2 linked regions of the Coturnix japonica genome follow. The protein of the gene in region 1 interacts with the protein of each later gene in a pairwise test. Links are inferred from orthologs where the notes say so. Each region holds a gene or a part of one and is shown on either strand. Other genes may lie near its edges.

Evidence for each region.
Region 2: the proteins of MCM10 (region 1) and MCM6 interact in binary tests that used the Homo sapiens proteins (3 or more experiments, as listed by UniProt). The two-hybrid records come from large-scale screens. The link is inferred for Coturnix japonica from reciprocal best matches to the Homo sapiens genes MCM10 and MCM6.

Annotation. Positions count from the first base shown.
Region 1 is NC_029516.1:5,991,481-5,995,852, forward strand, and holds the start of MCM10 (protein MCM10 homolog), read left to right. Parts: upstream 1-1,433; 5' UTR 1,434-1,479; coding exon 1,480-1,543; intron 1,544-1,734; exon of another isoform or gene 1,735-1,907; intron 1,908-2,104; exon of another isoform or gene 2,105-2,106; coding exon 2,107-2,157; intron 2,158-2,792; coding exon 2,793-3,113; intron 3,114-3,413; coding exon 3,414-3,518; intron 3,519-4,108; coding exon 4,109-4,243; intron 4,244-4,372. UniProt on the Homo sapiens protein: Acts as a replication initiation factor that brings together the MCM2-7 helicase and the DNA polymerase alpha/primase complex in order to initiate DNA replication. Additionally, plays a role in preventing DNA damage during replication.
Region 2 is NC_029522.1:27,852,212-27,856,606, forward strand, and holds the start of MCM6 (DNA replication licensing factor MCM6), read right to left. Parts: upstream 2,831-4,395; 5' UTR 2,768-2,830; coding exon 2,658-2,767; intron 1,775-2,657; coding exon 1,628-1,774; intron 1,264-1,627; coding exon 1,153-1,263; intron 700-1,152; coding exon 450-699; intron 1-449. UniProt on the Homo sapiens protein: Acts as a component of the MCM2-7 complex (MCM complex) which is the replicative helicase essential for 'once per cell cycle' DNA replication initiation and elongation in eukaryotic cells.

The sequences.
Region 1 (4,372 bases):
GAGGAGAAATGTTTTATAAGTGAACACTTGACACTTCAATACATTTCTGTTACTCTGAAGTTCAGACCAAAGTTAAAAGGATGACACATGGAGATGCATGTGCAGTAAAAGTAATATATATAGCTTATGTCATCTTGCGATCTTGAGCTAAGAAGAATGGAACAACTCTATAGGAGAAAGCCTTAGGGATGCTGGATACCACAACTGAATGTGCACTGTTACAGCAGATATTCTGTACTGCTACATGACAAATTCCCCTGTCAACCTGCTTCAATAAATAAGCACTTCTCTAAATTGTCCTGCGGATGATGGAGGAGAAGAAAACGCTGAACAGATCAATAGTGGAATTAGAAATAAAAAATTCACCGACTGGGTATTTTGCTTCAGACCTGACAATGAAAATAGTCCTGAGCTGATTCATTCCAAATAAAGCTCTAAATACTGTGAGATTTATATTTCACTCCGAGCAGATTAATATTCTTAAAATACACACACAAAAAAACAACACATCTGTAGGTGTTCCTTGGGGCAAAGAAAATATTCCTTCACTCTATTTTAGTGTGTGAAGGCAAGCATTTCTCATGCCGTGCTGTCAGTGAACTCTCAGCTACCAGTAGCAAGAAAAAAACATCTCTTTATTGCCCTAATAATTAAAGCAAAGATTTGTCTTTATTGTTGCAGTTGTCACTATTGTTCTAATTATCTGCTGTAAGCTGAATGCCTGCTTTCTGTTAGCTATAGCTCACGCTCCCACACAGCTTCATCCATAATTTCAGCTAATGGAAGAGCTGCCTGAAATCTATTGTGAGGAGATATTTGTTGGCTTGGTTGCACCCTTCTTCATCAATTACAAGCACTCCCAGAAGATGCAATCTCTTATTGACTTTTAATTAGTTCCTCACGACAGCAGGATTTATGGGCTTTTTTTCCCCTTGCATCCAGTTTTATTACGGGAGCTCTGCAATAGTTATAGATTCCGCAATGATCAAAAAACTGATGGAAATGCTACTAGGCCAAAATCAAACTAATAGAATGACAATAGAGCTGATTTCATCTGAGTAGCATTAACCTTAATGGAAACATAGAAAATCGATGTGAAAGGCCAAAGGAGGAATTACTTATACATCTGTCAAGCCAAACTTAATCATTTTAAGAGGCTTCAGTCAGAGAAGGATCTGAGCACAGGAATACCAACAGGAAGACATGGGTGTGAGCTGAGGTAGGTCTTCATAGAAAGATAAAATCTAATACTGCAAATTCATGACGTGAGCTCACCCTCCTAGGAGCAATTTGAGGTGATTTAATTCACATTACAAGGGGAAATTAACAATTGAAAGAGACTAAAACAGAACGCTCGCCTACCATCAGGGCTCTCAGTCTCCACAGCATCACTGTGGAGAAACAACCCGCAGCCAAGATGGCGCCCGCGCCTCCAGCACTAAAGATGGCGCCGACGCAACGAGCGACGTGACGGCGCGCATGAGCGAGGAGGGCGGAGCGGGGTTGGAGTTTTGGCGGGTGCTTGGAAGGCGGGAGGCGGTGAGTGGGACTGTGAGGAGAGCGGGTCTGTGTGTGAGGGGAGATGGGGGCCGTGTGTGAGGGGAGATGGGGGCCGTGTGTGAGGGGAGATCGGGGCCGTGTGTGTGAGGAGAGCGGGGCTGTGAGGAGAGTCGGGCTTTCTGTGAGGGGAGAGTCGGGCTTTCTGTGAGGGGAGATGGGGGCCGTGTGTGAGGGGAGAGCGGCCGAGCCTTAGAGGGATCAGGGTTGAAAGGGAAGGAGGTTAATGGGATCGCGGGTACGAATGGAGAGGATCCCTTGAATGTGGAGATCGGGCTGAATGAAGAGGGAATCCTTTGGTGGAAGAAGGAAGGAGGGATCCCAGGATGGGGGGCTGGGATCGGCCTGTGGTGAGGATTTATTCTCCATGTTGTGCCCTTGTGCTGCATTTGGCTCTGATCAAGGCAGGCTGCGCGTGTGGGAATAGGTTTGTGGATTAAAGTTCTTGTGGGCAGCTGTGGATGGAGAGTGTAGTGATCTACTGAGGGTGCTGGCCTCCGTTTGTAGGTGATCTCCATTCCAATGGTATCCATTTGTTCTGTGACAGAGTCTGTTTTGCCTCGGGGGGCTGTGGAAGGAATCGTGGTGAGATCATGGATGGTAAGGGATAAAAGCACTGCCCTACTTTCAGTAGGGAAGCTTTCTGACCAAGTGCAGAGAGCTCCATTAGCCTCTTAACAAAGGAAATCATATTGTGCTCCCTTTGGCTGTGTCTGTTGCCTTCATCACCCTCATCCTCTTGTGAGGCTGCATTTGAGTCTTCCTCAGGGCCAAAGGCTGAATACCTTTCTCATGTTGCTCTATGTATGTATCTCCGCTCTGTCTGTCCTGTTCCTCTCCCTGTTTTTAGAATCATCAAATCTTTTCAGTTGGAAGGGACCTTTAAAGGTCATTTAATCCAACTCCCCTGCAATGAACAGGGATATGCACAGCTTGATCAGGTTGCCCAGGGCCTGATCCATCCTTGTCTTGAAAGTCTTCAGGGATGGGGCATCTAATACATCTCTGGGCAGCTTGTTCCAGTGCCACACCACCCTCACTGTAAAAGACAAGGAAAAAATCCAACCTACATCTACTCTCTTCAAGCTTTTTGACCTTTTGCTTCATGTTTCTCTGCTGCTCTGTTCACTTTCTTGAGCAAAAAGCGTATTCAAGACAGTGACTTGAATGTTTGATTCTGTAGCAGCTTTCCTCTAAAAGGATAGAAGTAAAACCGAGTTTAATTTCTACTTCAGGTGATGAAGATTTGGATCTGTTGGTCTCCCTCCTGGCGGAAAATGAGGGAGCTGAAGAGGGGAATTCTCCTGAGGAGGAAGATACCTCGAAGACTGAGAAGGGAGAACCAGATGAGTATGATGAGCTCTTTGATGCAGAAGATGATGCATCATACACTGAGGAGGTGGACGCTGACAACAGCATAATTGATGAGGAGAAGGAGAACCTGGCTGAGCTGTTTGGAGATGTGGATGACCTGCTGGAAGAAGAGGAGGCAGAAAACACTGTCACAGCTTCAGTTCCCAATCAGGGGGAAGAGAAAACCAATGAAGAATTACAAGGTTTCTATTACAGCATCTTTTAAATGGTCTTGTGTTCACTAGAGAAGATACACGCAACATGTCAAGGAATATAGCACAAAAAAGTTAAATATTGATATAAGTCAGCTCTAGGCTGCATGGAAAGCTGTCCCTTCCCTGTGAGCCATGTAGAATCAGAGCTAAATCTATCCTGTAGCTCTAGTCTTTTTGTTCCTAATCTGTGATGTAGTAATACTGCCAGGCTCCCCAGGATTTTGTTAATCCCTGTTTACTGTGGCTTTTACTGCTGTCCTCATTATTGTCCTTTTTCTTCTTTCTTAGCTGAGCTGAGAAAACTACAAGAGCAGATGAAGATGTTGCAGGAGCAGCTGCAGAAGACGGCCATTGGGCAGCAGTCCAGTTCAGGCCCTGGGCAGAAAGCCTCTGGTAACAAGACTAATTAAATGAGTTTCTGATTTGTTAACTTCCCAATGTGTAAATTATAGGCAGATGATAATCTGAAGTGGGAACTGAGTAGCAAAAAGGAATGATGGTCTGTTATATTCCTGTACAGGTTGTTTCTTTCAGTACAGACTAAATGGTTTTGTTATTGGCATCATGGATTGATTGAAATGGGGCAACTTCTATGACTGTGGTGCTCCAGTGTTCTGCTGGAAAAGGTTCTTTCTTAGTAGCAGATGCTGGTGCACTCAAATGTTGCTACACCCAGAAAATACAGCCGTGTTCGTTGCTGATGCACATTTAGTGTAGTAATAATGAAACAGGGAAACTGAAAAGCAAAGACATGTTCCTACTTTCTACAGCTTTCTGGCTTCAGTGACATCAAGAGTTTAAGGTCAGAAGGAGTAAGAATCATTGGGGCTTTCCCAGATGTTGCATGTCACATGCTGGCAATTAAGAGTTTCCATGTGGGACCCTGACTTGGATTTATTTGAACAATTACTCAGTTTGGAGTAATGTTTAGTATGTGAGACTGGATCCTGAGATCTCATAAGTGCTTTTGTTTTCCTGGCTAGGTAAATCTCTCTGTCCACCCTTAAAGGAAAGGAAAGCTCAGAAGCTGCAGGAGTCACCGTGTTTCTCAGCCCAGCTGGACAATCCTTTACCAGCAGCCAAGAAAGGAAACCAGAAATCAAAAGCCTCCCCAGCAGGTATGGTTCTTAGTGAGCCTTCACTGAGACACACTGGGCTTTGCTGAAAGCCTACATAGTTCACAGCAGCAGCATGGACACATCCAGGGCAGTATTTATATTAACCAGTTCTGAGCTGACTTTGAGATC
Region 2 (4,395 bases), on another chromosome or scaffold:
CTCAGGACACTTAGATTCTACTCAATGCAACACATTATCGTGAGATGTGATGTGCTGAGGATCTGGCAGAGTAAATCCACGTGGAAGAGTAAAACACTACAGATCCAAAAAAGACACCTCTTTTCATACTTATATGAAACAATTATGAATATATGTGATAGGAGACTGACAAAGGATTGAATACGTGGGTTTTCAGTGGCTTGTTTACATATTAAATATCACACAATAAAACTCTTTAGATTGTATTTGTAATTTCCCACACTTCAAGTCTTCAAAGAAAGAAAGAAACTATTTGCAGAAACTCCAGTGCCTTTTCTCAAGGTCTTTTCTTGATGTTGACACTACCAAAATCAACAGTCTCCAATGAGCAGCAGCAGCAACACCTTTCAAACACCACAAGAACATCACCTCGTCATTTGTCACCCCCTCATTCAACTTCACCACTGTACCTTTTGGAAGTCAACAAATCTTGATTTGTTTGTGTCCAGCAGGAATCTCCTTCTGTTGGCACAGACTGGGTTTCTGCAGATGTTTGGCTGTGTATACTTAAATTGCTGTTCCACATCCTTAATCACTGTCTGGCAGTCCAGGCAGAGGAAGGTTCCACTGACAAGCTCTGGATGAACTGGGTGGGTACGTACCACCTGCCCACTGATACGCATCAGCGAGCCAATTTTGGCAGATGTCAGTTCTCGAATCCTGTGTAGAACAGAAATTAATTCCAGACTAAATTCCTAGTCCAGCTGACATTTCAGACCCAGAGCACTCACGTAGGAGCAGCTCACTATGTAACAAAAGAACAATTGCAACAGGCAAATGAAACAACATAAAGAAAAACAACTTCCCATTTTGTCATTTTACATACTTGTAGATCAACATTAATTACACCATTGGCACTTCAAAAGCAACACATTATACCAGATTTTAAATGCAAAAGTTTAATCAGCTCGTCAGTATCTGCAGTCACTTTCAGCCCAGCATTTGCATGATTCACAAATGAAAAAAGGTTACATAAAATCATGCATCTTCTTCATTATTGTATGGATAAAGTGCACCTTTTATGCTGTATAATGAGAACATCTTCAATAGCTTTTGACATCTTTTTTCCAGAGGTGAGAATATACGAGTTTCTAGGATTAATAATCATCTTACTTGTGTCTGGTAGGAAGATCCTGAAACGCGACATAGAAGTCCTTGTTTGCAGGAATGTTTCCATGGTCTCTAGCAAAAGTCCTCACTGCTCGGCAAAGATAAGGATAAACCCTGAAATAAAGAAAACAAGTTTGATTTCCATATTAGATATCAAACGCCTTTTTCACTTTAGACTACATCACAGGCTTGTATCATACATTTGCAGGTTCTGGCTTTACAACAACCCTATGAAAAAACACAAAAGCTCATCTAAATATGCTATCAATGAGATTGCTGTGTTATAACTACATTTTTTAATTAACTGTATGAGAAAAGATTTTTGAGACCTTATTTTATGGCACTTTTCTCCTTTTATTAAACAGCAGAGCCTCAAAATAAGCCAATATAATATTTGCAGAGCAATAAGCTCCAGAGCTGCATTCTCATTCTGACCATCTATTTCTTTATCAGAGTAAATACAACCTGTACGCTTTACCTGTAAAATTCCTCCTGAACAGTGGTAGAGAGCTGCTGATTGAACTGCTCCAAATCCACAAAGCTCACGGTCAGTGTGTTACGCTCCGGCCGGATCAGCTCCTCAGCATCACGCAGGTATTTGACCTCCCCATCACTATTCTGGAATCTGAAAGCAAGCCAGGGTGAATGACAGTAACACGTAACAGAGCGGCAGTAATAGATCAGACAGCAACCAAAAACTTCTGGATTCAAGACAGAAGAGTGGCACTCCCCATCCCCTCACAGACATCCCTTCCAGCAATATTTTCTCCCAAGCAACAAGCCATAGGACAAGAGGAAACAGCCTCACATTGCTGTTTTGGGGTTTAGGGTTTAGGTTGGATTATAAAAACTTTTTTTTTTCATTGCGAGGGTTGTGAAGCATTAAAACAGACTGCAAAGGAAGCATTTGAGTCACATCCCTGGAGGTATTTAAGAACAACAAAGAGGTGGTGTTTAAGGGCGTGGATTAAATGGTTTTAAGTTAAAAGAGGGAAAATTTAGGTTGGATGTTAGGGGGAAGTTCTTCACTAGGAGAGTGGTTAGGCCCTGGAACAGGCTGCCCAGGGAGGTTGTGGATGCCCCGTTCCTGGAGGTGTTCAAGGCCAGGTTGGACGGGGCCCTGGGCAACCTGAGCTAGTAAAGGTGTATGTTTGGTGGCCCTGCCAGGCAGGGGGTTGGAACTACATGATCCTTGAGGTCCCTTCCAACCCGGCTCATTCTGTGATTCTGTGTGAATGGCAGCACGAGGTTAATGATTACTCTTGATCTCAGGATCCCGTTCCAACGCCAAGTGTTTTCCCTCTGCCCGCTATGAACACGCCGGCACACACAGGCCGGCCCCGCCTCCACACCTCGACAACAAGGCCCAGAGCGGCCTCACGACGTTACCACAACGGGCGGCAAGCCGGGCACAAAGCGCCTCAGAGCTGGGCCCGAGCTTTTCTCACAGGGACGGTGGAGCGTGGCCGCAGACCCCGACAGGAAACCCCCCCCCCATCCGCACTCACTCCTCGAGAAAATCCTGGAACAGCTTCTGGCACTTCTCGGCCACCTCATCCCGCAGCTGCTGATGCTGTTGTACCGCTCCCGCTCCGCCGGCCGCCACCGCCAGGTCCATGGCTATGGCTATGGCTATGGCTGCCGCTGCCGCCCCGCTCCCGGCCCTGGCCCCGCCCGCCAACCTTCGCGCCACAGCCGCGCTGACCAATCAGCGGCCGCCGTCTCTCAGAGTCCCGCCCTCCCGCCCCGCGTTTCCTCTTCCCTCTCGGGCGTTTTCGCGCCAAAAGCGAGCGTCTCCTCAGGGCTGCGTGGCGCCCTCAGTGCGCAATGGTGAAAGCGATTAAATGCAGCGTTTTATTTTTAAAGATCTCAGTGAATATTTGATATGGAGCCTTTGCACAGTGCTAAGAATCACAGAATTACCCGGGTTGGAAGGGACCTCAAGGATCATGTAGTTCCAACCCCCCTGCCTGGCAGGGCCACCAAACATACACCTTTACTAGATCAGGTTGCCCAGGGCCCCATCCAACCTGGTCTTGAACATCTCCAAGGACGGGGCATCCACAACCTCCCTGGGCAGCCTGTTCCAAGGCCATCTGCTCTCTTCTAGTTCTTCCTCTTTGGAAACCACCCGTAACAGGAGTCTGAAGGACTCCCCAAGTTTTATCTGGAAACTGAAACACAAAGAGCTCAGTATCTTCCCTAGGAAAGATCCTGCGGGGGAAGCCTGTCGGTTTCATTCTATCTTCCTTTTGTTATCAGGAAAGCCCTGAGGGGCAGAGATGAGATGGTGAAATTACTGGCGCAAGCAGTATGCGAATGAAGCATTTTGCCCTCTATGTAAAAAGAATAGCTGACTAAACTGAAGCACTTATCACACGAATCCAAATCAGAGAACAAGCTTTCAAGCTTCAGAAGATGTCTGCAAGAATCTCAGTTGGTTTTGTTCCCAGACAACTTGAAAGGAACTACAAAGTGTTATTTGTAGTGAAAACATGCACGATTCTGACTGAAGATTTAAGTTCCCATAAACTAAGGGAATTGTATCTGTGCATACATCTAAGGACAGGAAGTGAGATAGTTGTTAAACTATCCTGCAATAGGTGATGGAAATCAAGGACTATACATGTTTTCCTAAACTATGAAACCAGAACTGCTAACGATCAAAACAAGACAGAGTTCTGAATTACTATTTGCCGAGTTTTAACCAAGTTCTAGCAATGTGCAGCATACACCGAAGCATCCTGTTCAGATGACAGTCTTGACAAATGCGTTTTGCATTTTGATTTATGATCATAATTATTTTCAGTTGGCTGAGAAAAACTGCATGAAATGATATGGCATACAAAGGGAAAAGAAGGGATAGGGGCCTCCCAGAGGAACTGCAGTTCTTTTGCAGCTACTGAGAATAAATCAAACTAAAATATGAGCTCAAGTAACTTAATAGAATTGGGATAAGCACAATTGTTACAGGAGTACGTGCAAAACCTGCTGCCACATCTAGAGTAATGAACATAGTTGTCAGAACTCTGTTTTTTTGTTGGCATGAAATGAAGCCGCTAATTTTGTGTATTATTAGGAGGAAGCACTTCAGATGTACGTTACCAGCTCTGTAAGAACAAAAGAAATTAAGTAAAATTCATGCCAGCCAGCTTACCTAAATAAATGATTGTTTTGAAACTTGGATTCATTGGTAATAAGTCTGTTGTGATAAGCTGCACTTAGCCAACTAGCTTTCTAAAATAT